Diceros bicornis minor: one gene and its partners. The protein of the gene in region 1 purifies or fractionates together with the protein of each later gene. This does not show direct contact. Links are inferred from orthologs where the notes say so. Each region holds a gene or a part of one and is shown in the gene's direction. Other genes may lie near its edges.

What was found.
Region 2: the proteins of CHD3 (region 1) and RBBP7 purify together in Homo sapiens (affinity purification with mass spectrometry; 6 studies listed by BioGRID and IntAct, counting the BioPlex papers as one, with this or other methods). This does not show direct contact. The link is inferred for Diceros bicornis minor from reciprocal best matches to the Homo sapiens genes CHD3 and RBBP7.
Region 3: the proteins of CHD3 (region 1) and SMARCB1 purify together in Homo sapiens (affinity purification with mass spectrometry; 3 studies listed by BioGRID, with this or other methods). This does not show direct contact. The link is inferred for Diceros bicornis minor from reciprocal best matches to the Homo sapiens genes CHD3 and SMARCB1.

The regions. Positions count from the first base shown.
Region 1 is NC_080757.1:10,508,181-10,515,609, reverse strand, and holds the start of CHD3 (chromodomain-helicase-DNA-binding protein 3), read left to right. Parts: upstream 1-4,415; 5' UTR 4,416-4,439; coding exon 4,440-4,710; intron 4,711-4,789; exon of another isoform or gene 4,790-4,851; intron 4,852-7,429.
Region 2 is NC_080781.1:13,855,764-13,863,397, reverse strand, and holds the start of RBBP7 (histone-binding protein RBBP7), read left to right. Parts: upstream 1-4,613; 5' UTR 4,614-4,628; coding exon 4,629-4,776; intron 4,777-5,060; coding exon 5,061-5,205; intron 5,206-7,634. UniProt on the Homo sapiens protein: Core histone-binding subunit that may target chromatin remodeling factors, histone acetyltransferases and histone deacetylases to their histone substrates in a manner that is regulated by nucleosomal DNA.
Region 3 is NC_080774.1:29,771,595-29,778,505, reverse strand, and holds the start of SMARCB1 (SWI/SNF-related matrix-associated actin-dependent regulator of chromatin subfamily B member 1), read left to right. Parts: upstream 1-3,890; 5' UTR 3,891-4,010; coding exon 4,011-4,103; intron 4,104-6,911. Other genes in the region: MMP11 (stromelysin-3), read left to right, coding at 1-23, 799-1,056, 2,001-2,134.

The DNA.
Region 1 (7,429 bases):
TTCAGGAATACACTCAGTAAAAAAGCAGAAATGAAAGAACAGTGTATTGTGTTTAAAAGTTTTGTCATCATCTTTTATCATCATCTTGAAGGGACCTGGAGAGAGGCTGTGTCTTTGTTTCTCCCAAGGAGTTACAACATCTCTAAGGTGGCACGTGAGAGGAGCCAGAAGGAAGGATGAAAAGGGAGAAAAGTTTTAGTAAGAAGCGAAGCTTTTTAGACGAGGAAGATAAACTTCTTGGACAGGCCTAGGTCAGCAGCCTAAGGGTGCTGCTGAACCTGAAAGGATCTAGATTCATATGACTTGAAAGAACTCATATAGACTATGGAAAAGCAGAGCGGGCCTCCACCTACTCTCTGCGCATGTAAGCTCAGCTTACAAACTCTCTGTACTTATTAACTGTACCTATATTTATGTGGTATTTTTCAGTACTACCAGTGCTTTCATGTCTTTTCTCAATTAATACATAGTTCAGTGACAAAGAGACCAGCAAAGGTGTGCTGTCAAAACAACTTATTATGCAAAGTAAAATAGGAGATTAGGAGAGAGCAAGCCCTTCCTAAATGCTCCTCAGGTGCTGACAGTAAAAGCATGCAACCAGCAACCAGTCAATCAAAAAGATAAGTGCCATAAAGTAGAATCAAAAAGACAGGAGGCAAGAGGTGGCAAGCCCAGCAAAGTAGGAAGGAGTAATGACAGACTGACAAGAGGAAGAAGCATCCAGCAAAACTGGGAGAGAAGCAGGAAGAAGTGTAGCAAAAAGCAAGTAGACTTTTATATGTGTATATTCTTCTCTGGAACAATATCCAAGAACTATGAAGTAGTGACTGCCTCTGAGGAGAGGAACTAGGGGACTGGGGGAGAGGGATGGGAGGGAGGCTTACTCTTCACAGGATACTTTTAGTACTTTAAAAATTTTGTACAATGTGTATGTACTATTTAAAAGTTGACTGAAAAAAAAAAGAAGAAAAAAGAAAATCAAGCAGAGATGTTGACAGCAAGAGCCAGCCAGCTAGCCAACAAAAAGGCAGGAAGACAATGAGAGACTGGAAAAATGGCAAAAAGACTGAGGCAGGCAGACTGTCTAAGGAACCAGCAAGACAAAAAGAAGAGACAAATGAAATGGAGGCAAGCAGTGAGGGAAGGCAGGGTAGGGGATATGGGAAGAAGGCAGATAAGAGTTTGGGGCAAGGGGGTCACTGAGAGGTTTGGGGTAGAGAGACCGTCACCAGTGACAGGATGTTGGTATAGAGGAAGCTAAGGGAGGAAAAGCTGATAAGCAGACAGACTAAAAAGATACAAGCATTAAACAGTGAGATAGCAGCAAGCAAGTAGGGTAGACAGGCAAGAAGACAATCATAAAGGGAGGCAAGGAAAAATCATGAACTTTACAGGCATAAATAAGAGGAGGAAGAAGTAGAAGGGCAAGATAAGAGGCAAACCAAGATAGGGAACCATGGCAGGGCCTGGCAGGTAGACAGACCAAGGCTAAAAAAGTGATAGAGACAGGCAGGCGGGGAGACAGATGGCTAGAGAGCGAGCAGTGGGCAAACAGCCAGAGAAGCAGACAGACAACCAGAGAGAGAAAGAGGCTGCCAGCCAGTCAGGGAGAAGCAGACAGGCAGGCAGGCAGGCAGGCAGACAGACAGCGTAACAGGAGCAAGCAGGTAGAGAGGCAGGTAGAAACGAGGAAAGAAGAAAAATCAAGAGGTCAGCAAGGAGAAAAAGAGAAGAGGAGATGCAGGCAGAGTGGGAGATGGACAAGAGGGAGAATCAGGCAAATTAACAGATTTACATGCAAAGCACACTCAAGAGAATGACGAATGTTTGTATAGGGATGCACACAGCCACCTTTAGCCACTCACACCTGCAGCTCATGGCACATGCGGCAGGCAGGCAGAGGCGCTCAGCACAGAGGGAGAGGGCACAGAGGCAGAGACTGCGGCACACATGATGTGCAGGGTTGCCCACACACATGTGGGGACACTCTTCCCAGACACACACAGAGGGGCCAGAAAGAGGGGGAGTCAGGCACACATGAGGAAGAGGCACATACAGTCAGGGCCTGGAAGACAGACGTAAGCAGAAAGAAGACAAAGATGAAAAGTCACTTAGAGGTGACAGAGCCTGAGAGTCAAAGGGATAAGAAAGTCTCTGTGAAAAAATAAACACACACATACAGAGAAGCCCATATGCAGAAAGGGGGATAGTAAAGAGAGACTGAGAAAGAGAACAGAACAAAATTGAATGGAAGAGGGACAGGAGTTAGACTCAATACAGGAATGATATGAGAACAGAGGCAAGCGAATTCCAAATGCCAGGTTAAGAAAAAGATGGAAATCAATGCTCAATAAAGTGTATTAGTCTATGTAGGGGGGGGTGGCACATCAATAAAGAACATTTTAGCCTCCTAAGCAAAAATTTGCATAGTATTCTTTGTCACTAATACTTTCTGGTTGCTGCCTACCTATCCCTACCTCTTAAGGTGCTCTGAACACTGCAGGGGCTGCTGGGTGGCTGACAGCTCTACTTAAGCGGTAGAGAAATAACCCAGGAGAGAAATGATTCCACAGGCATGGGATAGGAAGCAAGGAAAGGGGCAACATGAAATCAAAAGAATGGGAGGAAACTGGAGTAAGAAAAGGGTGACAAGAATGAAAAAGGGTAGAACTGAGCTATTTGCCCTCTTTCCTTTGCTAGCATTGCTCAACTGGCAAGTTTTATTTTATGACTTCTCTGCTCACATCTCTGGGTGAGAAAGCTACTTTCGGACTCCTTTTCAATCCATCTGACTCCTGGTACCACTTTTAAGATAACACTGGAGTACAGTGGGAAATCATGGGTCAGAAAGTTAGATGAAAATGCGAGTGTAACCCCCTACCTCTTTCTTTTTCTCAGTCCCAGTTACTTTTCTCTTTGACGGTACCTCAGTTTCTTCTACTTTATCAGTGTTGGAGACCATGGAGGAAGGGAAATATACTGAAACGGGAGAAAAGAGAAAATAATTTCACAATCTTCAGACTTGACTCTTTCCCCTTTATTCTAAAAATCTGTTCTATTTACCCCTAAATTAATTCCCCAAATCAGATGAATTTTATATTCAAGCAACTGGGGGAGGGAAGGGAGAGGTAAAGGAGAAAAGAGTGAAGATAAAATTTACAACAATTATAAATCACTGAAAAGGCTGGGCAAAGGGGAGAATCAAACATGGACTCCTTTGAAAAAAACTCAATCATCCTATCTATTCATATCTCTCCCCCAAAAGTCACTAGGATTTCTATTACTTTTTTAAAGAAAGAAAAAAAAATCCAGTACTGCTTCTCACTTAAAAGATACATATACAATTAAATGCGTTTTGACTTCAATGAGGTATGTAGAAACAGAGTTATACATAAACATATATTTCATCTTTCTCCTTTTCAATGCCTGAAGGGGAAAAAAAAACCTTCACATCAAACCACTCCCTTCTGAAGTATTCAGAAAAAAAAAAAAAAGCTTTTCTTTAAGAGAAGGGAGGTGGGGAGGAAGACTAGTAAAGAAAAGAAAAAAATTTAAATCTAGTTGGACTAGTATCTAACTAGTTAACCTTTAACAATTTATGCTGATGTCAGACTGAGCATGAGTACTGATTAATGCCCCCCCTCAAATATTTTTTTATAAGGGGGGAGTTAGTCACAGCAGCCATTTTTGTTTTATGCAGAAGTCCTTCATGCCCCCCCCAACGCGCATAGACACACACACACACACTCAGTACACAAGGAAAATATCTCTATTAATCTGTGCACTAATCAGTTATGAAAAAAGGGAGAAATTTGTGGGTTTCTGGGTAGAGGCTTGGAGATGGGGGTGTAACAGGGAGGAGAATGGGGGGGTGAAAAATGAAATATTAAGCCAGCCATTTTGTTTTAAAAGGGGATTTTCCCCCCCTCTCCCTTTTTTCATGGAGGGGGTGGCGGTGCTGGGGGGGGGGGTTGTTTTAAAAATAATTTCAAGGCGGCCATCTTAGTGCCTCAGCTCTGAGAAATATTTCTGAGCGCCCCCCTCAGAATTTAAATATATTTAAAGCAACAGACAGGGAGGTAGAGAGAAGTCGAAAACTTTTATATACATATATATATATATTTTTTTTAATCCCCCTTTCTTGTTCTCTTGGGAGGAAGGAGAGAGGGGGAAAAAAAAAGTCTCTCCTCAATTTTTTCCAAGAAAATTTCTGGGGGTGGTTTGGCCCCCCTCCTCAGACGGCGGCCCCGGGGGTGGGGGTTTTGGAGGGGGGTGGCCCGGGGGTTTGGGGGGCTGGGGGAGGCGGTGAGGAGGAGGAGGACGCCGCCGCCGAAGAGGAGGAGGAGGAGGAGGAGGAGGAGGAGGTGGTGGTGGTGGTAGCGGTGGGGGAGGCGGGCGGGCGGTGGGTGGGGGGGTGGTGGGGGGGCCAGAGCCACAGGATGGCTTCCCCTCTGAGGGACGAGGAGGAGGAGGAGGAGGAGATGGTGGTGTCGGAGGAGGAAGAAGAGGAGGAAGAAGAGGGCGACGAGGAGGAGGAGGAGGTGGAGGCGCCCGACGAGGACTATGAGGACGACGACGAAGGAGTACTCGGGCGCGGGCCGGGCCACGACCGGGGCCGCGACCGCCACAGCCCCCCCGGCTGCCACCTCTTCCCGCCGCCGCCGCCGCCGCCGCCACTGCTGCCCCCGCCGCCGCCACCCCCGCCGCCAGGTAAGCGGCAGCTCCGACTCCCCCCCAGCCCGAGTGGGAGCCGCGGGCGCGCGGGGCCGGGCGGGGGCGAGGCACCCACCGCGCGGCCGAGCCGAAGCGAATCCGGGCGCGGGCGCCGTCTCGGGCCCGGCGGTCCGAGCGGTCCGGGCGGGCGGCGGCGGCGGCGGCGGCCGCGGGGCCAGGCCTCCTCCCCTCCCCCGCCGCACCCCTCCCCCGCCGCCGCCGCCGCCCGCCGCCGCCCCGGCTGGAGAGCGCTGGGCGCGAGCTGCGCGCGCGGACCGGGCCACTCGGTCGCGGCTTTCGGGGGAAGAGGAGGAGGAGATTTTTTTTTACCCTCGGCGGGGAGGGGGTAGGCAGGAAACGGCCGAGGCGAAGCCAGGGCCCCCTCCCTGGCCGAGCGAGGGACCGCGGAGACCCTGGCGGCCGGACGGCGGCGTGGGGGAGGGGCGCGTGGGGGAGGGGCGGCCGTGCGGGCGCCCTTCGGGCTTCGGCCCCGGTGGGGTTGGATTGAGGTAAAGTGGGGTTTCGACGTGTGGGGCCGACCGCGGCCCTAACTCCTTCCCCTCTGGAGTTGGGAAGGCGGGGGGAGGGAGTGGGTGTCCAGCGGAGCCCCCCACCTGCGGGGACTTTGGTGCCCGCCAACTCTGGGGCGTGCGGTGGCACATGGGGGAGGGGTCGTGTGAATGTTTGTGGGCGGCTGACGACTAGGGGCAGGTGGTGGCCACACTCCACGCAGACCACTTCCTGGAATGTGACTTGATCCTACCCCCTTTCCCCCCAGTTCGTAATAGGCAGAGCAGTCACTTAAGATTGGGGAGCGAGAGGACAGTGTCTGGGAAACCAGATGCCCCCAACTCCACCCCCTTTATCTCTCCTCTGCTCTGGGCTCCTTTGTGTCAAGTGCGCCCCCCCTCCCTCCATGACCCCGTCAGTCTGGGGTGGCCGAGCTGCCCAGCTGTGACTCTCACGTGGCTGCCATTCACTGTCACTCACTCTCTCGCTCAAACCACCCACACCCTGACCACTTTGGGGGTCGTGAACTTCCCACCCAGCTGTTCTGCAGTTTGACCATCACTCAGCACCCCTCCCCGGGATAAGTCACCCGGCATTCTGGGCAGTTCCACCAGTGGCGGAGGGGACAGACCGCTGCCTTGCATGGGGGGCCCAGCAATGGCCTCACTCAGACCACCCTCCTAGTGGAGTTATTTCTAGTTTTCTTTACAATAGGTGAACATCTTTAGAGTGTTCACACCCCATGCTTGGGGAATGAAAGGGTACATCCGCACCTCAGGCCTCTGGGTGCTGTGCTGCACAAATGCACCAAACTTCAAAACATCTAACATCATGCTCTTTGTAAAACTGTTATATTGATCTGTGTGGCTTATGTGGCAAATGATCCTGTCTAGTTGAGACAACCTTTGAGGGAATGTGGCATGTTTCCTTATGAGGGGCAGAAGGATGTATGTCTGATGGAAACAGAATAAAGCCCCCCGCCCCCCACCAATCTTTTCTGAAAAAGGGAAAAGTTTTTAGAAAGTTATCCCAGAGAGCCCACTGATTTGCACGAGGGAAAAGGAATAAAGAATTGTGGGGAGGGGGTTGCCTGGAAAACAGCAGGGGTGCTAAAAAGAGGGAAAGAAAGGATGTCAGGTTAGGTTAGGGGTTTGGCGGCTCTCATCTATTTGTATTCCGAACTTGGAATGTGGTGTTTGGGTGTTTTTGATCCCGGATTTGGGTATGTGGGAGAAAGAGGAGCATGAAAGAATCTGAGGTCGAGATGGGTCTTTGTGTCAATCCTCCCTTCCCTTTCCCAACTCTGCCTTCTGAGTAGACGAGAAGAAACGTCAATGTTTTTAAATTTTTATATTTGAAATGAAAAACCACCTCCTCTCTCTCCCAGGGCAATTTATCTCCCTTTCAGCCCTCCGAGTCAAATGAGTGACCCAGATACACCCCCTCAGATGACTTTCTGAGGTAAAACTTTGGGAAAATATTTTTAGTCTGCTCATTATTTTTGTCTACCTAAGTGTGAGCAAAATAACCCTCCTAAAGGAAATTTATTCCGGCTGCCCTCCCTCTTTTCTCTAGAATATGAATTTGTACGTATTAGGGGTTTCTATTGTTTTTCATTCTGACTGCTTTGATTTTCACCATTTTGTTTTACATTCTTACCCAAGACCAATTTTATCCCTTCCCCCCTCTCCAGTCTCCTTACATTGTTAAACGTTTAAAATAATAGCACTCGTGTTGATGGGGGAAGGGAGCAGGAAGCCAAAAACTCATTTCTTCTCCCTCCCCCTTCTGGCAAGTCTAGAGAAATAATATAACATAATATATAGATGTGATTCCTTGGGGGTGGGGGTGGGGAATGATTGTGGGTGGTGCGGAAAATTCTGGTAGTTTCTTTGCAAAAGGTCTGAAAATACAAACCCACCCCCTGCGTGCAATACGCATGTGCAGCAGACCTATTATGGTGGTTCGTTGTGGGGGAGGGAGGGGAATTTGAGAAAAAATAAATATATGTGTGAGAGATTGATGGTGAGATTAGAAGGAGAGAGGGGCGGGCGGGAGGCGAGGCTTTCTGCGAGGCTCCTCCTGCTTTCTCCGGCTTGCCAGGCCCCGCCCTCCCGCTCCTCGCCCGCCCTCCTCCCTCGCAGTCTTCCCGAGATCTGAGCCAGGGCTGTGGGAGAGTCTGGGCTCCAGGCCAGCATTGAGTGGC
Region 2 (7,634 bases), on another chromosome or scaffold:
AAAACAGTTCAAACAACTACAGTTTTCTATTTTATAATTTTCCTTTAACTCCCTCTCACACAATTGCATTAAACAATATTTTAAGAGAAATTACCTAGAATTCTAGCACGGTACGATAACTCTTCATTTGTCTGCATCACTCTTCTACCATTTTTTAATATATTTTCTCTAAAACGTGTGGCCTTTGTTTTTTCTGTTTATAAGCGTATGTCTGTCCACTGGAGAAAATTTTTAAATAGAGCACTATATGAAGAATAAAATAACCACCATCCATAATACCAGTAACCAAGAGACAACGGCTATTAATGTTTTCGTGTATTTTCTTCTGCTCCTAATGATTTGGATGAAAATGATTTGGCTAGGAACAAAACTGGTATTCTTTATGCACCCCGTTTGCTCGTGTAATTTTCAGATTTTTCTGTAATGAGCTTTGCTTTTGTAATTAAAAAAAATAAAGGAATGTATGAAAGAGCAGGTGCTCTATATGTCTTGTTCATCCAAGTATCTCCAGCTCTCAGACCATCTCTTGGCACACAGTAGGTACTGCAAAAATTTTTTTGAATGGCTAAGATTTTCCCCCAAAACTGGTGAGACAGGGTTGTTAATGAACACAAAATCACCCTGCAGCTCTGTCCAGATACCATTTCCCTCTCTTGTTCCTTTCGGTAAACAGTTCATTCTAACACATACAATTAGTTTTGCTGTTTTAATATGACTGATTGAATTCAAATTCCAACTCCAACACTCACTGGCTATGTGACTTTGGCAAAACACTTCACCCCTCTCTGCCTGAGCTTCCACATCTGGTAAGCACTGGTCCAGGTGTGCCGAATACAACAAAACAAAGATGCCGCCATCAATTTACGTTCTAGTGTAAGGGAAAACGCCTATGAACAAATCTTTGTCAGGTAGTGAGAACAGAGTAAGGGGGATAGAGAGTGATTACCGGTCAGGGCGGATGAGGGTGTGTTGTTATTTTATAAAGGGTGGTCGGGGACTGGCTAGAGGTTTCAAAAATATCCTACTGTCTGTGTTTTTCAGACTTCAATTTGTGATTGAGTGCAATCACGAAATCAATGTAGAGGGTCATCTGCATATTTTTTTAAATGAGATAAAATACCAGAGTGCATCACACATATTAAAGGTCAGCACTGTTTGGTGTAACTTGTTCTGGTTTATATACAAGTGTGCTAGTCTGTGAAACACGGTGGGCATGGAGAAAGTGGTGGTTAACACTACAGCAACTCGGAGGTAAGCAGTCTTAGAGAAAGGGACCTAAACATGGCGTCTCTCAGTTAAGATAGCCCCCAACCTGGTGCATGTGCCTCTTGGTGCCTAACTCGATTAGCAGACTTAGCTGAGTGCATGAGACAGAAAGACAACCACAGAGAAAGTGGGAGAAAAGATTAGGACCAGAGCTAAGAAGACGAGGTGAAAGGCAAAAACAAAACTGAACAGTTAAGCAATTCAAGAGAGAAAACTGGTATTCCTTTTTTTTTCCGTGAGGAAGATGGGCCGTGAGCTAACATCTGTTGCCAATCCTCCTCTTTTTGGCTGAGGAAGATTGGCCCTGAGATAATATCTATAGCAATCTTACTCTATTTTGTATGTGGCTCGCCACTGCACCATGGCTTGATGGGTAGTCTAAGTCCGCGCCCGGATCCGAGTCGCGAACCGTGGGCGCTAGGGAAGCGGAGCGCAGGGAGCTTAACCACTAGGCCACCAGGCCGGCCCCTGCTATTACATTTTTGATGCAAAAAAGTACCCGACCGGGAAAAGACCAAAAAAAATTAGAGAAACAGATTTGACAAATTCAATTTAACAACAAAAAAAATCCAAAGCTAACGAAATATGCTGTACATGATACTTGCAGATTAAGTGTATGATAGTGCCTGAATATTTTCAGAAACTCCCAAAATATCTGCTTCATACTTCGTACTCTGATCTTCAGTGAAGTGGACAGTATAAAGATTTTAAAGCCATATTGTCTGGGAGGATTTCTTTTCTTTCAACCCTTTAAACATTTAATAGGTTTTGGAAATTATGCCTACCCATCAGAAATAAGTAAAATATATTAAAGGGAGACTGGAAATCGTCTGCCAAGCCTTCTCTTGCTGTGCACATGAGGAGGTTCCCACTGAAGCAGAGCTGTAAGACAATTACTCTAGAACAAGATGGGCAAACTACAGTCCTCCGCTAAATCTAACCCGCCGCCTGTTTTCGTATGGCCCACGAGCTAAGAATGATTTTTCCATTTTTCAAGCGGTTGAAAAAAATCCAAAGAGTATTTTGTGACACGTGAAAATTTTATGAAGTCCAAATTTCAATGTATATCAAGTTTTATTGGAATACAGCCATGATCAACCATATCGTCTAGGGCTGCTTTCTCTCTATAACGCGGCAGAGTTGAGTAGTTGCCCCCCAAACCTAAAATATTTACTCTCTGGCCCCTTTTAGAGAAAACATTTGCCCACCAGCGTTCTAGAACATGAGGGCTGTATTGTTTAAACACCCTTGCAACCCTCTTCCCTCTCCAGCCGCCCCCTCCCCAGCTTTAGTCACTAACAAGATTCCTGGGCCTGACATAAAGGGAGAGCGTTGTAATAATGAATCGCATCGTATCGGAAACCAGAAGCACCAGACAGTAAATTTCTATATAAGGTAATACGAGTGGTTCTGCCACCGACTAGAGTAACGTCTGGGTTTGTTTCCCGATCAGAAACGTGGGCATCACGGCAGCAGCTGCACGATTTCGTTTGAGAATCACCATGGTCACTTGCATGAAGGCACTTGGAAAATATCAAGGCAGCAAGTGTTCCGGTGGTGCTTTTGCAGGGGGAGCCTTTCTTGCAGTCTGGATGTAGACAGAGGTTCCCTTTGCATGTAGGCACCTCTGCCGCCCCCTCCTACCCTGTCCCCTCTGCTCCTGGCCTTCATTTTCGTTCCCGTTTAGCCTTGCAGCCCGCTTTCTCCCCACCCCCACGCACTCCCCAGGGGCTACCAAATTCCAGGACAGAGCAGGGCTCGGGCAAGCCGGCCCCGGGTCAGCTCAGCCCAACTCTTCCCAGCCTCACCAGCTTGGGGTGCGGTTGCCCTGGGACCCCCGCAGGTGACAAGAATGACTCAGCAGGGTCTTGGGCTGGGACGGAAACAAGAACGCCAGCGTAGGGACAAAATCCTCTGCAGTACGCGAGGCCACAAATCATCATTTTTAAGGACCCAAATTTGTGAACAAACGAAAACGTAATTCAAAAGAGCGTCGGGCCGTTGGCGGCCTGTGCCAGCACAGGCCGCAGGTTTAGCCTAACAGGGAGGCCCGGCGGCTTCTGCAGTCAGAAAACGCCCGCGGCCTCTGCAAAAAGTCCCCTTTGCCTCCGACAAACCCCACCTCGGCTCGACCGAGCCCCACGAAAGGCCAGTCGGCTGGTGGAAGACCTTTCAAGGTGCACAGAATTGCATGCTCGTGATTATTGGGTAGACTTTGCGGGCACAGTAATCTCTCCAGACTAGAAACCATTTTCCTTTCTGGCTCTGAGATTTTGCTTGGCTAAGCGGAGGCAGCCTCCCTGCCCCCCTCCCACCCCCACCGCCACGGCCGCTGCAAGCAGCCACGCCCCACGGCCCCGGGGCTCGCCTCCGCGAGGCTCGCAGCCCCCGTGCAGCCCGCACGCCGCGCCTCCATTCGCCCCACCCCCAGCGCACCCCCATCCGCCCCCGCGGCCGGCCCTGGGAGCGCCGGGCGAGCCCTCGCGCCTGCGCCTCGCCAACTTCCTGCCGCGGAACGCCCTGCGCACCCCCAGAAGCCCGCCTCCGAACGCCGCGTGAAACCTGCTTGCCGCACGTCATTGGTCGAGGCGATGAAGCCGTTGGCTCCCAGGTCCGCCTCTCCACCGCCTCTCGCTTTTCCCAGGGCGGATGCGCCTGCGCTCAGCTGCCTGGGCGGGCTGAGAGGCGCGGGTTGAAAAGTCTCGTTCCAAGTTTGGAGAGAGAGAGAGAAGAGCGCCTCAGACCTCGGTACCCGCGAGCGGGGAGGAGGCAGGAGAGAAGGACGCGGCGTCTGGGGAGCACCCAGGCTGTGAGCCGGAGCTCACGCTTCGAGAGCTAGAAGTGTGTGACGCGCCTGGGAAAGGCAGGAGCGCCTGCGGTTGGGCTGCTCTTGGCTAGCGAGGGGAGTCTGAGGCGGCGGCGAGGGGCGAACGACCCGACGCAAGATGGCGAGTAAAGAGAGTAAGAGGCCCTGCGGGGCGGCGCACGCCGGGGCCGCGGGGGGCGGCGGGCGCGCGAGGCCGCGGCACGCGCCGGCGAAAGGCGCGAATTGGCGTGAGGAGCAGGGGGCGGGGCCGGGCGCGAGGCTGGGCGCGCGCCTCGAGGGCCTACGCGGGACGGGGCCGCGGCGCTGAGGGCTTTGAGCACTTCCGGAGCCGGGCGCGGGGCCGCGGGGTGGGCCCCCTTCCCTCTCTCCCCTCGGACCCCCCCTCCCGGCGGCGGCGCTCCCTCCCGCGCCCTCGGTCCCGGGTGGAGGCGGTCTCCGCCGCCGGAAAGCGGGCACGGCGGCTTCTTCCACGCGCGCGCGTCGACCGCCTCGGGGTCGCGGCCCTTGTCCGGGGGATTCTGGAACCCGCCGGCCTATGGCTGCCGACACCGGTTTCGTGGGAGCGGAGGCCTCTCCTGGTGGGGGTTGGAGGGAGCGGGCCGATGGGGTTTTGCTACACGTGGATTCGTCTCCCGGGGCGGGTCGTGGAGCTCCTCTACATACGGGTCGTCATCTTAGAACAGGTGCGAACAGCAGTAACCAGCAAGACAGTTTCCGTGTCCGTGTAATTAATTACTCCGTTCTGAATACGCAGGCGGTATTGATCTCAAACTGCAAAAAATAAGCTTTCTGGTGTTAATATTCTCTCCACATTCTGGAAGAGCAGTTGTTCGCGTCCAAATTAGAGGTTAAAGGCAAAGAGTAGATTAGGTGTGGCCGTCTCGAGGTGATCTCCAGTATCTGTGTATCGATTCTGATTTTGATCCCTCTCAGCCGCTTAATCGTATGGGCTTTCTCCAAATTTCAGTGTTTGAAGATACTGTGGAGGAGCGTGTCATCAATGAAGAATATAAAATCTGGAAGAAGAATACACCGTTTCTGTATGACCTGGTTATGACACATGCTCTGCAGTGGCCGAGTCTTACCGTTCAGTGGCTTCCTGAAGTGACTAAGTAAGAGTGTCTGGCAACTTTTATTTTGCACGAATTTAACTCTTGTCCTGAATTTCCTAATTTTGGCATTTTATACATAGAACAGAAAAATGTAATCAATTTAGCCCTTGGATGAGGTGGCAGGTGATTTTTATTTTCAAAATTTAAGTGGTTTATGGGATGATTTCTGACGTATAAGTGTGGCGTTAAAAGGGGAGAAAGAATCTGCTGTGAGATTAATTGTATTTGTAGGAAGCGCTGGATATGTTTGACATTTCTTGGGTTTAAATATAGAGCGGTGTCTCTTTGGGCTTCAGACTAATGGATTTCTTTAAAATTTTATTGAAAAATAGCATATGTACAGAAAAGTGCACAAATCATAAGCCTATGGCTTGATGAATTTTTACGGTGAACTATGTAACCATGAACCCATGTAACCAGCCCCCAAGATGAGTATGTTTTAATTGGCAAAGGGGAAAAGAATTTAGCAACAGCTCACCAAAGAAAAGGTGTTGTTATTGGCTTATAGTATGAAATACAGTTTGAGATTGCTGTTGGTCTTCATACGAGTGTTCTTTTCAGCTATTTCTAAAACGTCTCTGGTAGTAATTGCTAACATTTGAGCACTTAGAACGGGGCCTGGCACACCTGAAAAGTTCTACATGCTGTTATTGGGTTTAATACAACAGCACTAGGATTACTTTTTATCATCCTTGTTTTACTGATGTGGACATTGGGACTGAGATGTTAAGTAACATGTCCAAGATTACACAGCTGGTAAGTGGTAGATCAGGTTTTTGAACCCAAACCGGATGGCCCCAGAGTCGAGGTATCCCCTGCACTAGGTTACCTTTCTTATATACTTGCACTTTTTCTAGTAGGAATTTGGCTATGTACTTTACAAGTGTATTAAATTTGGGTATTGTGAGCATATAATTTAATGAAGATTAATCAAACTCTAATCTAGAAAGGGGATTTTGCGACGTTATAAAAATAAGAGTTAGTTTATATAAAATTACTCATATAACAGCCACATTCTCCATATGCCGTCATTGACTTCCATACAGATAGGGGCTTCCCTTGGGGTTCCCAAAAATCTCAACATAAATACACAGATGTGGGAAGAGTAGCCAAGAACTAAATAATGGAGAGGTCTAAGCGTTGATAAAACAACTTTGAGCATCGAATACTTAAGGGTATCCAGGTTCTGGTTTAGAGCATCTTGTGCATTTTACTCTTTGTGTTTTCCTGTTAAGCAGATTTAAAACTTTAACAACTTAATTTACATTCTCTTGGATGTTTCTGACCTACTGTAACAGTAGAAAAGAGCGGGGGCTTTAAGGTTAGAGACCTGAGTTTGAATTCTGCCCCTTGCTTCTTAGTAGCTTTGTGAATTCGAGCAAGCTGGTCAGTCTCTATCAGACGGAGTTGTCTGGTATGTAAATTGAGGTGCTGATGGTACTGACTGCTTGCATTTGAGGGAATTAAATAAGATCGTGCATGTGAAAGTGCTGGTGCAGAGTAAGTACACAGTAAGTGGTGACTGATGCTGATTTTTACACCCCTTTTGTTCAGAAATAATTTGTTAGATAGGATGGAATAACTGTGTTTTTCCATTTGGATTTCAATGAAAGCTGCTTACTGAAGTCTTTTTAAAATGTTACCTATAATGTGTTTTGCATAAAGATTTTAAAGATAATAGAGCTATATGTTCTCAGCCCAGATATTGCTTTTATGTTAACGCTTAGAAACTTAACAGAAAATACTTTAACTAAATTATGTATGCCATGGTGTTCTTTGCGTATGAAGAAGTGGGATCTGGTTGTGGGACGTGCAGTGGCTCTGGGAATGCAAGAAAATGCCAGCCAGCCTGCATTCTTGGATGTTGAAGATGGCTGTGGGGTGCTTTGCAGGGTTCTCTTTGGGGGATGAAGGCCCTGTAATTTGTGTTTTGTCACTACACAGAACAGTAGAAATGTTGGCTACTCTTACTGCCTGGCTCTTTGAGGAACTAGACCCTACTCAACCTCATAAGGCCTTCTGCCTACATAAAACATGTTTCCAAATGATTACTTGCGCTTTCTGAGCTGTTGTCCTTAAATTGAGTTAGGTAATCGTCCAAATAATTGATTTGGCTTTTAAAAATTTAGATCTCTCTAAGAGATTGTTTTTCAAAACTGGTAGATCATGGTTTCATATCTCTTATTAAATAATTTCTTAAACATATTGAGACTAACTTATTTTCTACCTGAAAAGCTTTGTAATCATTCAAATTCAGATGGTACAAAAGTGCATAGATTGAAAAATAAGTCCCCCTTCCACAGCCCCTATTCTCATAGTTCCCTTACCCAGAGCAGAGTCAGTCATTGTTTGCAATTTCTTATCCATCCTGCAGGCATGAAGAAGTACATACATATATCTTCCTTCCATCTTTTTTTTCTGGTAGCAAG
Region 3 (6,911 bases), on another chromosome or scaffold:
GGGCCACATTTGGTTCTTCCAAGGTGAGTGGGAGTTGGGGGTCATGCTCAGGAGACTTCCGGGAGCCAGGAACGGTATGGCCAAGGGTAGGGACAGACAGACAGACGTGATGGGCAGATGGTGGGTGCCCCGAAGCCTTGGGGCCAAGGGAGAGTGTGGCTCACTCCTCTGGGCACAGCTAGGGGGCTCGCGGAGGCGGCGGCTCTTGAGGTGGGAATAGGGTAGAAGGTATTGCACGTGGCCTGTGTATTGGTGCAGTCAGCCCTCAAAGGCACCCCGTGGAGTGGGCAGGATTATGAACCCTGGTCTAGAGATGAGGCCTCCGGGGCTCTGAGGTGAAGTGACTCACCTGAGGGCACAGCTGGGAAAAGGCAGAAGTGGGATGTGACCTAGGTCTGGAGAGCCTAGAGCCTGTTCCGTTAACTTGCAGCTGGCAGAGACGAGAGCCTGGAGCATTCGAGGTGGCAGGGATTTCATAAACAAAGGCCCAGCCAGGGTGGTCAGCTGGCACTTGTCATGGGCAGCCACATGCCAGGGGAAGAAGTGGGAGGCCAGGCAGCCTCTCTGCTTAGAATAACCTTTCCCGCGGGCACCTCTCCGCGTCTGCACCACTCACCTTACCCCGCGGCTCCAACTGCCCTCTGGCGTGGGGTGCTGAGCAGGCATTCCTGGCCTTTGTGTTTGACAGACAAGGGACTGAGGCTGGGAAAGTCTGTGGCGGTGGTGGCGGCTGGGCAGGTCTGCGGTGGCTGGGCATGGCAGTTGGGCAGCTCCGTTGCAGCCTCCCCCCTCTGGCAGGCGCTCGGTACTGGGTGTATGACGGCGAGAAGCCAGTCCTGGGTCCTGCACCCCTCTCTGAGCTGGGCCTGCTGGGGTCCCCAGTCCACGCCGCCTTGGTCTGGGGCCCCGAGAAGAACAAGATCTACTTCTTCTGCGGCGGAGACTATTGGCGCTTCCACCCCAGCACGCGCCGTGTGGACAGCCCTGTGCCCCGCCGAGTCACCGACTGGCGAGGGGTGCCCTCTGAGATCGATGCCACCTTCCAGGATGCTGACGGTGTGTTGAGGGTGGCATGGCTGGTGGAAGTGGTGGCTGGGCATCAGCTCCTCATCACAGGTCCTTTGTCCAGTGCCCTCCCTATCCCCTGTCCTCCTGCCAGGGCAGTGCTATACCCCCGTGCTGCAGATGAGGAGATGAGGGCCAGAGAGGTACTAGGACTTGCCAGGGCCCTGGGTCATAGCTGGTCAAATAATAACCGCTGCACACAGAGGACCCACGATGCTCCAGGCACAGCACCAAGCTCCTTACACGTCTCATGCAATTCTCAGATGTAGCACCTGTTATGAATCCAGTTTCCAGAGGAACAAAGAGAGGTTCAGGCAATGAGGTCCCTAACCGGGGCCGTCCAGGTAGATGGTGGGGAGCCAGGCCCCCCACCTAGGCAGTCCCTGCTACTAACCACTGAATCACCCAGCCTGCAGTCTCGAAGGACTAGATTGGGAACTTGCAGTCCAGTACCCTCTCCTGTGCCCCCACCCCCACTTTGCTTCTGTGCCTTCCCACATCAGAACCCACTGGGAGCGCTGTCCTGTGGTGGCCTTGGGCTCTGGGGCTCCAGGTTGCCCTTATCATCCACCTTGACTCAAGATGCCCATCTGTAGTTTTGGCTGTGGGTGCGGGAGTAGAGTGACTTGGGGAGGGGGGGAGTGACGAGAGAGACTTGCTTTCCTGAGAGGTAGGAGTTGAGCCTCTGAGGCTCCTGGCATTTGTTAGGCTGGGTGGTAGCTCAGACCAGACTCTGGGGGCAGGCGAAAGGGTTCCTCCGAGGGAAGGGAGGTTCTAGAAGGGCCACCGTGGGGCCTGCAGTTTTCAAGAAACTCAGCAGCGGCCAAGGCCTGCCCACCCGGACCGCCCCCTGTGCCCATCCCTGGGCACAGCCTGAGGGGCGGGCGTGGGGCCCAGTGTCCACTTGCCCAGGCCTGACTCGCCTCTCTACTCAGGCTATGCCTACTTCCTGCGTGGCCGCCTCTACTGGAAGTTTGACCCAGTGAAGGTGAAGGCCCTGGAGGGCTTCCCCCGCCTTGTGGGCCCCGACTTCTTCGGCTGTACCGAACCTGCCAACACTTTCCGCTAACCAGCGTGGATGCCCTCAGGGCTCCTGACCCCTGCCAGGCCACTGACATCAGCTAGAAACCTGTGGCCATCTTTGTGGCTGTGGGCCCCAGGCATGGGACGGAGCCCATGTCTCCTCAGGGGGGTGGGGAGGGGGTGCTGCCACCATGACAACTGCAGGGAAGGCCACGCGGGTCGTGGTCATCTGCCAGCGACTGTCTCAGACTGGGAAAGAGGCTTTGGTGTTAATTAAGGGTGAGGGTGGTTCAGGTCGGCTCTGCCCTACCTCGTGCAGGTCACGGTCAAACCGGCCACCCTCAGTCTCCATCCCTGTCCCTCAGCAGGGCTGGGGGAGCTGGAGCCCTCACTGGTTGGTGATCCTGGAGATCTGCTCCCCAGGATCCAGGCCAAAAGGTCCACAGTCGGCTGGGGAAGAGGGGTGCTTCCTGCCAGAGACCCCAGGCCCTGGAGGCCCCAACATACCTCAATCCTCATCCCAGCACTGGGACCCTCCAAAGCCATGTAAATGTCTGTAGTGTGTACAAAGCCTTTTTTTTTTTTTTTTTAAACTAAGGACTGTCATTAAACATGGTCATTTTCTACCTGCTTGCCTGGGGTCTCTCTGTGACTGCAAGGCCAGGACGGAGAAGGGGTTGGGCCAGGAAGGTGGGAGGCCTGGCTTGGGACCTCCTCTGTCCTGGGAGCCAGGGTCACAGCCCATCCCACCCGCAAGCCTCTGGTCCTTGGGGCTGGGTGCAATGCTTGGGGCTCCTCCCGCTCCATTCCTCCATCACATCTCACTAGATGCCTGTAGTGGCTTTGAAATTGGTTCCCTGTTTCCCCGCTTGCCCCTCTGATCATGCTCCACTAAGTGGTGGTCGTTTTATCTGATCATGCCACGTCCCAGCCACCATCCTAAACTCCTGTTTCCCAATGCTCTTGGGACACAGAACAAAACTCATGGTTGCCACGGCCAACCCTTCCTAACTCTCCAGTGTCTCCTTGCCCACCACCCAGCCCGACGTGTATCTTCTTCATAGTGGCACCTATCACAGCTGCAATTCTATTAGACTTGAACCATGTGAAATTGTTAGCAGTGGGCCGTTGCTGACCTACTGCATCGTTCACTGGATACATGGATGCTCTGATGCTTTCATTAGCGTCAGTCCCCGCTCCGAGCTTTGGGTGCCACAGGGCAGGGCTGGCCAGTTTCACCGCACAGTTGGGCTTGTTGTAGGCACAAAGCACAGTCAAGAAAGGAATGAGGAGGTTCCCTCCTCTGCAACACTCATCTGGTGCACCAGCCAAACCAAATACCACCTGGGCCTGGAAATCCTGCCAGGCCCCACCCAGGGTTGTCATTCTGCCCATCCCCACAGCAGCAGGAACAGCTGTGAGCCCGGAACTGCAGTATCTGTTCCTAGGAGCCCTCTCATCTACTCAGCAGCACTGCATTCCCGGGTGGGGAAACTGAGACATGGGTAGCTCGGGCCTCCTCCCGCCTTCAGGCCTCATTTCATTCTTCTTCCACTGGGCTGAGTTCCAGTCCCAGCTGTGAGACTGCGAAAGCCACCGCCTGAGTCAGGGCCTCGGTTACTATTTCTGCCCGCGAGAAGTTTCCCTCGGTACCTCGACTCGGGAGGCGGCCTGGGAGGAATAGACACGGATCGAGGCTCCTTTAAGGGGCCCGCGGGGGCGCGCCTCGGCCTTTTGTTTGGGCGACGGCGGCGCGCGCGTCAGCGTCAAAGGCCGCGCATGCGCACTGAGGGCGGTCTGGTCGTCGTCTGTGGCTGCCGCTGAGGAGCTCAGCTGCGGCGCGAGCCCCCGGCCTGTTCTTTGCCTCGGTGTGCCCTCTCAGTCTCGCTGCCCGGCCTCGGCCCCCTGCCTCCGCCACCGCAATGATGATGATGGCGCTGAGCAAGACCTTCGGGCAGAAGCCTGTCAAGTTCCAGTTGGAGGACGACGGCGAGTTCTACATGATCGGCTCTGAGGTAGCCCGCGGCACCTCCTCGCCCTTCTCGGCCCCGGGGTCGCGGGAGCCTCAGAGCAGGCCTGCGCGCCGGGAACGCCCGTTTCCATTCATCGCGGCGGGGGGGGGGGCGGGGGGGGAGGTGGACGCGAAGCGCTGGGGGCGTGGTCGGGAGGGCGTGGTCAGCGAGCCCCCGCCCCCCCGCCCTGGCGGTCCGGGATAGGTTAGCAATTTCGCGGTGGTGGGGACGCGCCCCGCTACCAGGGCTGGGGCTCCCCGAGGGGCACCGGATCCCGCTGAGTGGGTAGCACTCGGGTTAGACCCTGAGCGCTTCTGGGGGGCATGTTGGGAATCTCACACGCGCCGCTACTCCATTGCTACCTATGGGATCCTGAAATAGCCGGCTGGAAGCGTGGGCTCAGTGAGGGCTCATCCCGTTGTGTTGCCTTTGAGGTGGACTTTGAGGAGGTGTTTTGACCTTTGTTTACCCGTTAGGAAATGGGTGGCGAGGAGGATGCTTGCTTTTGGTTCGATAAGGCCCCAGGCTACCAGCTAGCTCTATCAGCAATTCGGGAGCAAGTGCCACTTTGGATGTCTTGAACTTACTCAGAATTATGAGGAGGGAAAGATCCTAAAGGTCTTTTATCTTTGACTAGAAGTGACAGCACTTTGTCGAATCAGCTGGATGACTGACTTTAGGAACACCCTACACCTGGTCCTTCAGTGGGAATTTGTACTATGTATATTAAGTTTTTCCAGAGTGCCTCAAACTAACCCTTTCTGGTCTAAAGGCAGTCCTCAGACAGTGTATATTCCTTTTTTAAAAAAATGTTGGATATACGGTTCAGATGTGCAGATACTGAGCAGTGGAGTCTGTCTAGGTTAACGAGGCAAGTGCCGATCCTGGAGAGCTAAAGTAGGTACAAGATGCCCAGGGCTGTCTCTCCTTGTAGCAGTTTTCAGTATCAGACGCCAACATTTCATTACTGTTTTTACAGTTTTTGGGTTTTTTCTTCACAGTTGAACATAATGTGAGTGAAGCAAGCCCCATGATGGTCACAGTAGGCTTTCAGGACACCCTGTGATTCCTGGCTTGTCTTAGTTGTATCGAGTTGTGAGACCACTGTTGTCAGGAGCATCTTTAGTGTTTCCATTTTTCACTAATTTTTATAAAACAAAAAGGACAGGATGCAGTAACATTTTCAAGTTATCACATAAGTGCTGCTCTTCAGACATACCTGTGCTGGGGAAATGGAGCCAGTGCCTGTCCATCTGCCACAGCTCACATGGTCCTCATTGGCCTACTGGTCGGCACCTGCCTAAATGCAGGATAGGAGTTTCGGTATGTGATAGTGGGCAGGTTGTTTAAAGAAACCTTTACCTGATCTAGTGGGCAGGAAGAGCAGTCAGTTTGGCCTTTGAGTGGGTGGTACTTTTGAAAAGCAAGCCTTCATTTATTAGGTGGAGCAAATTGAGAGAAGAAGCACATGGCCAGATGGGGAGAACGTTGGGAGGCCTGGTTCCAGCACTGCTTGGCCTCCCAGTCACTTTTCTTATGTGTATAATGAGATGTTTAGACTAGATGGTCTCTAAGATCTTCCCCATAACACATTTTAGTTTCTAGAAAACTAACTACGGTCTTCTCTTTCAGCCCTCTTGAGTGAGAACAATTGACCTGAGACCCAGTCTGTAGAGACCCAGGGGGGAGAGGGGGGCGGTGGTTTGCTCTCTCAGACCTGGCTTGACGATCGTCAGACCTTTGGAGGTCTGGGAAGGGTTCAAGATCAGGATACTGTCTACTGATATCCAGCAGCTCCTGTGACAGCATTGAGTGGATGGCCACCAGGCCCCTTCCCCTTGGGAAACAAGCACCATATTCAGAGAGGTGGGCCGGCGAGAGCAACACATCCAGTGCCCCCATGCCAGTCCTCGGAACAGCCTTGGGAGGGCGTCTGCAGTCACAGGGAATGTGTGTCACTGTTCTCCGCCATCTGCAGGCAGCTGTGTTCCCCGAGCCAGAGTCACAGAGCTGAGAGGACTTGAAGAAATGCCCAGGTCCACTCCTACATTTTACATTTGGGAAACCTGAGTCCAGAGAGGGCGAAGGCTGGTTCAGGGAAAACCCAGGAAGGCAAGCCCCGCTCCCCTAAATTCTGAACGATTCTTGGGAAGGGTCTAGGAGTCCTGGAGCCCTGTAGTACCTGCAGGGTAGAGGTGGGGGCATTATTGTCAACGTCTTCGTGAAAACCTAATGGAAACTGGACATTTGCCCTCGGATGGTAATGGCATTCAAGCCAAATAACGTGAGGAGACTGTGCCTATTGTGTGGAGCACGAGTGACTGGCTGTGGCTGCCTTTTGTCGCTCTGTTCAGCAGCTCTGGTTGCCAGTTATATAAATCTTTGATTCATGAAAAATGGAGAAACATTTTTATTTAATAAATATACTATGCTGGATAGGTAAATGGGGAGATAATAGAAGTGGTTCTTCCTGGGCCAAAGTTCAGAGTTGCTGAGCATTTGGCAGATGAGTAAGGAGACCCAGAAAAGGAAAGTAATTCCCAGTCACAGGTGGAGCCAGCATCTGGCACCCAGTCGGCTGACTGTCCCTGCCGTAAAACTCAAATGATCATTTTTTTTGTGTGTGTGAGGAAGGCCAGCCCTGAGCTAATATCCTATGCCAATCCTCCTCTTTTTGCTGAGGAAGATCGGCCCTGGGCTAACATCCGTGCCCATCTTCCTCTGCTTTATATGGGATGCTGCTAGAGCATGGCTTGATGAGCGGTGCGTCGGTGTGCGCCAGGGATCCGAACCAGCGAACCCTCAGGCTGC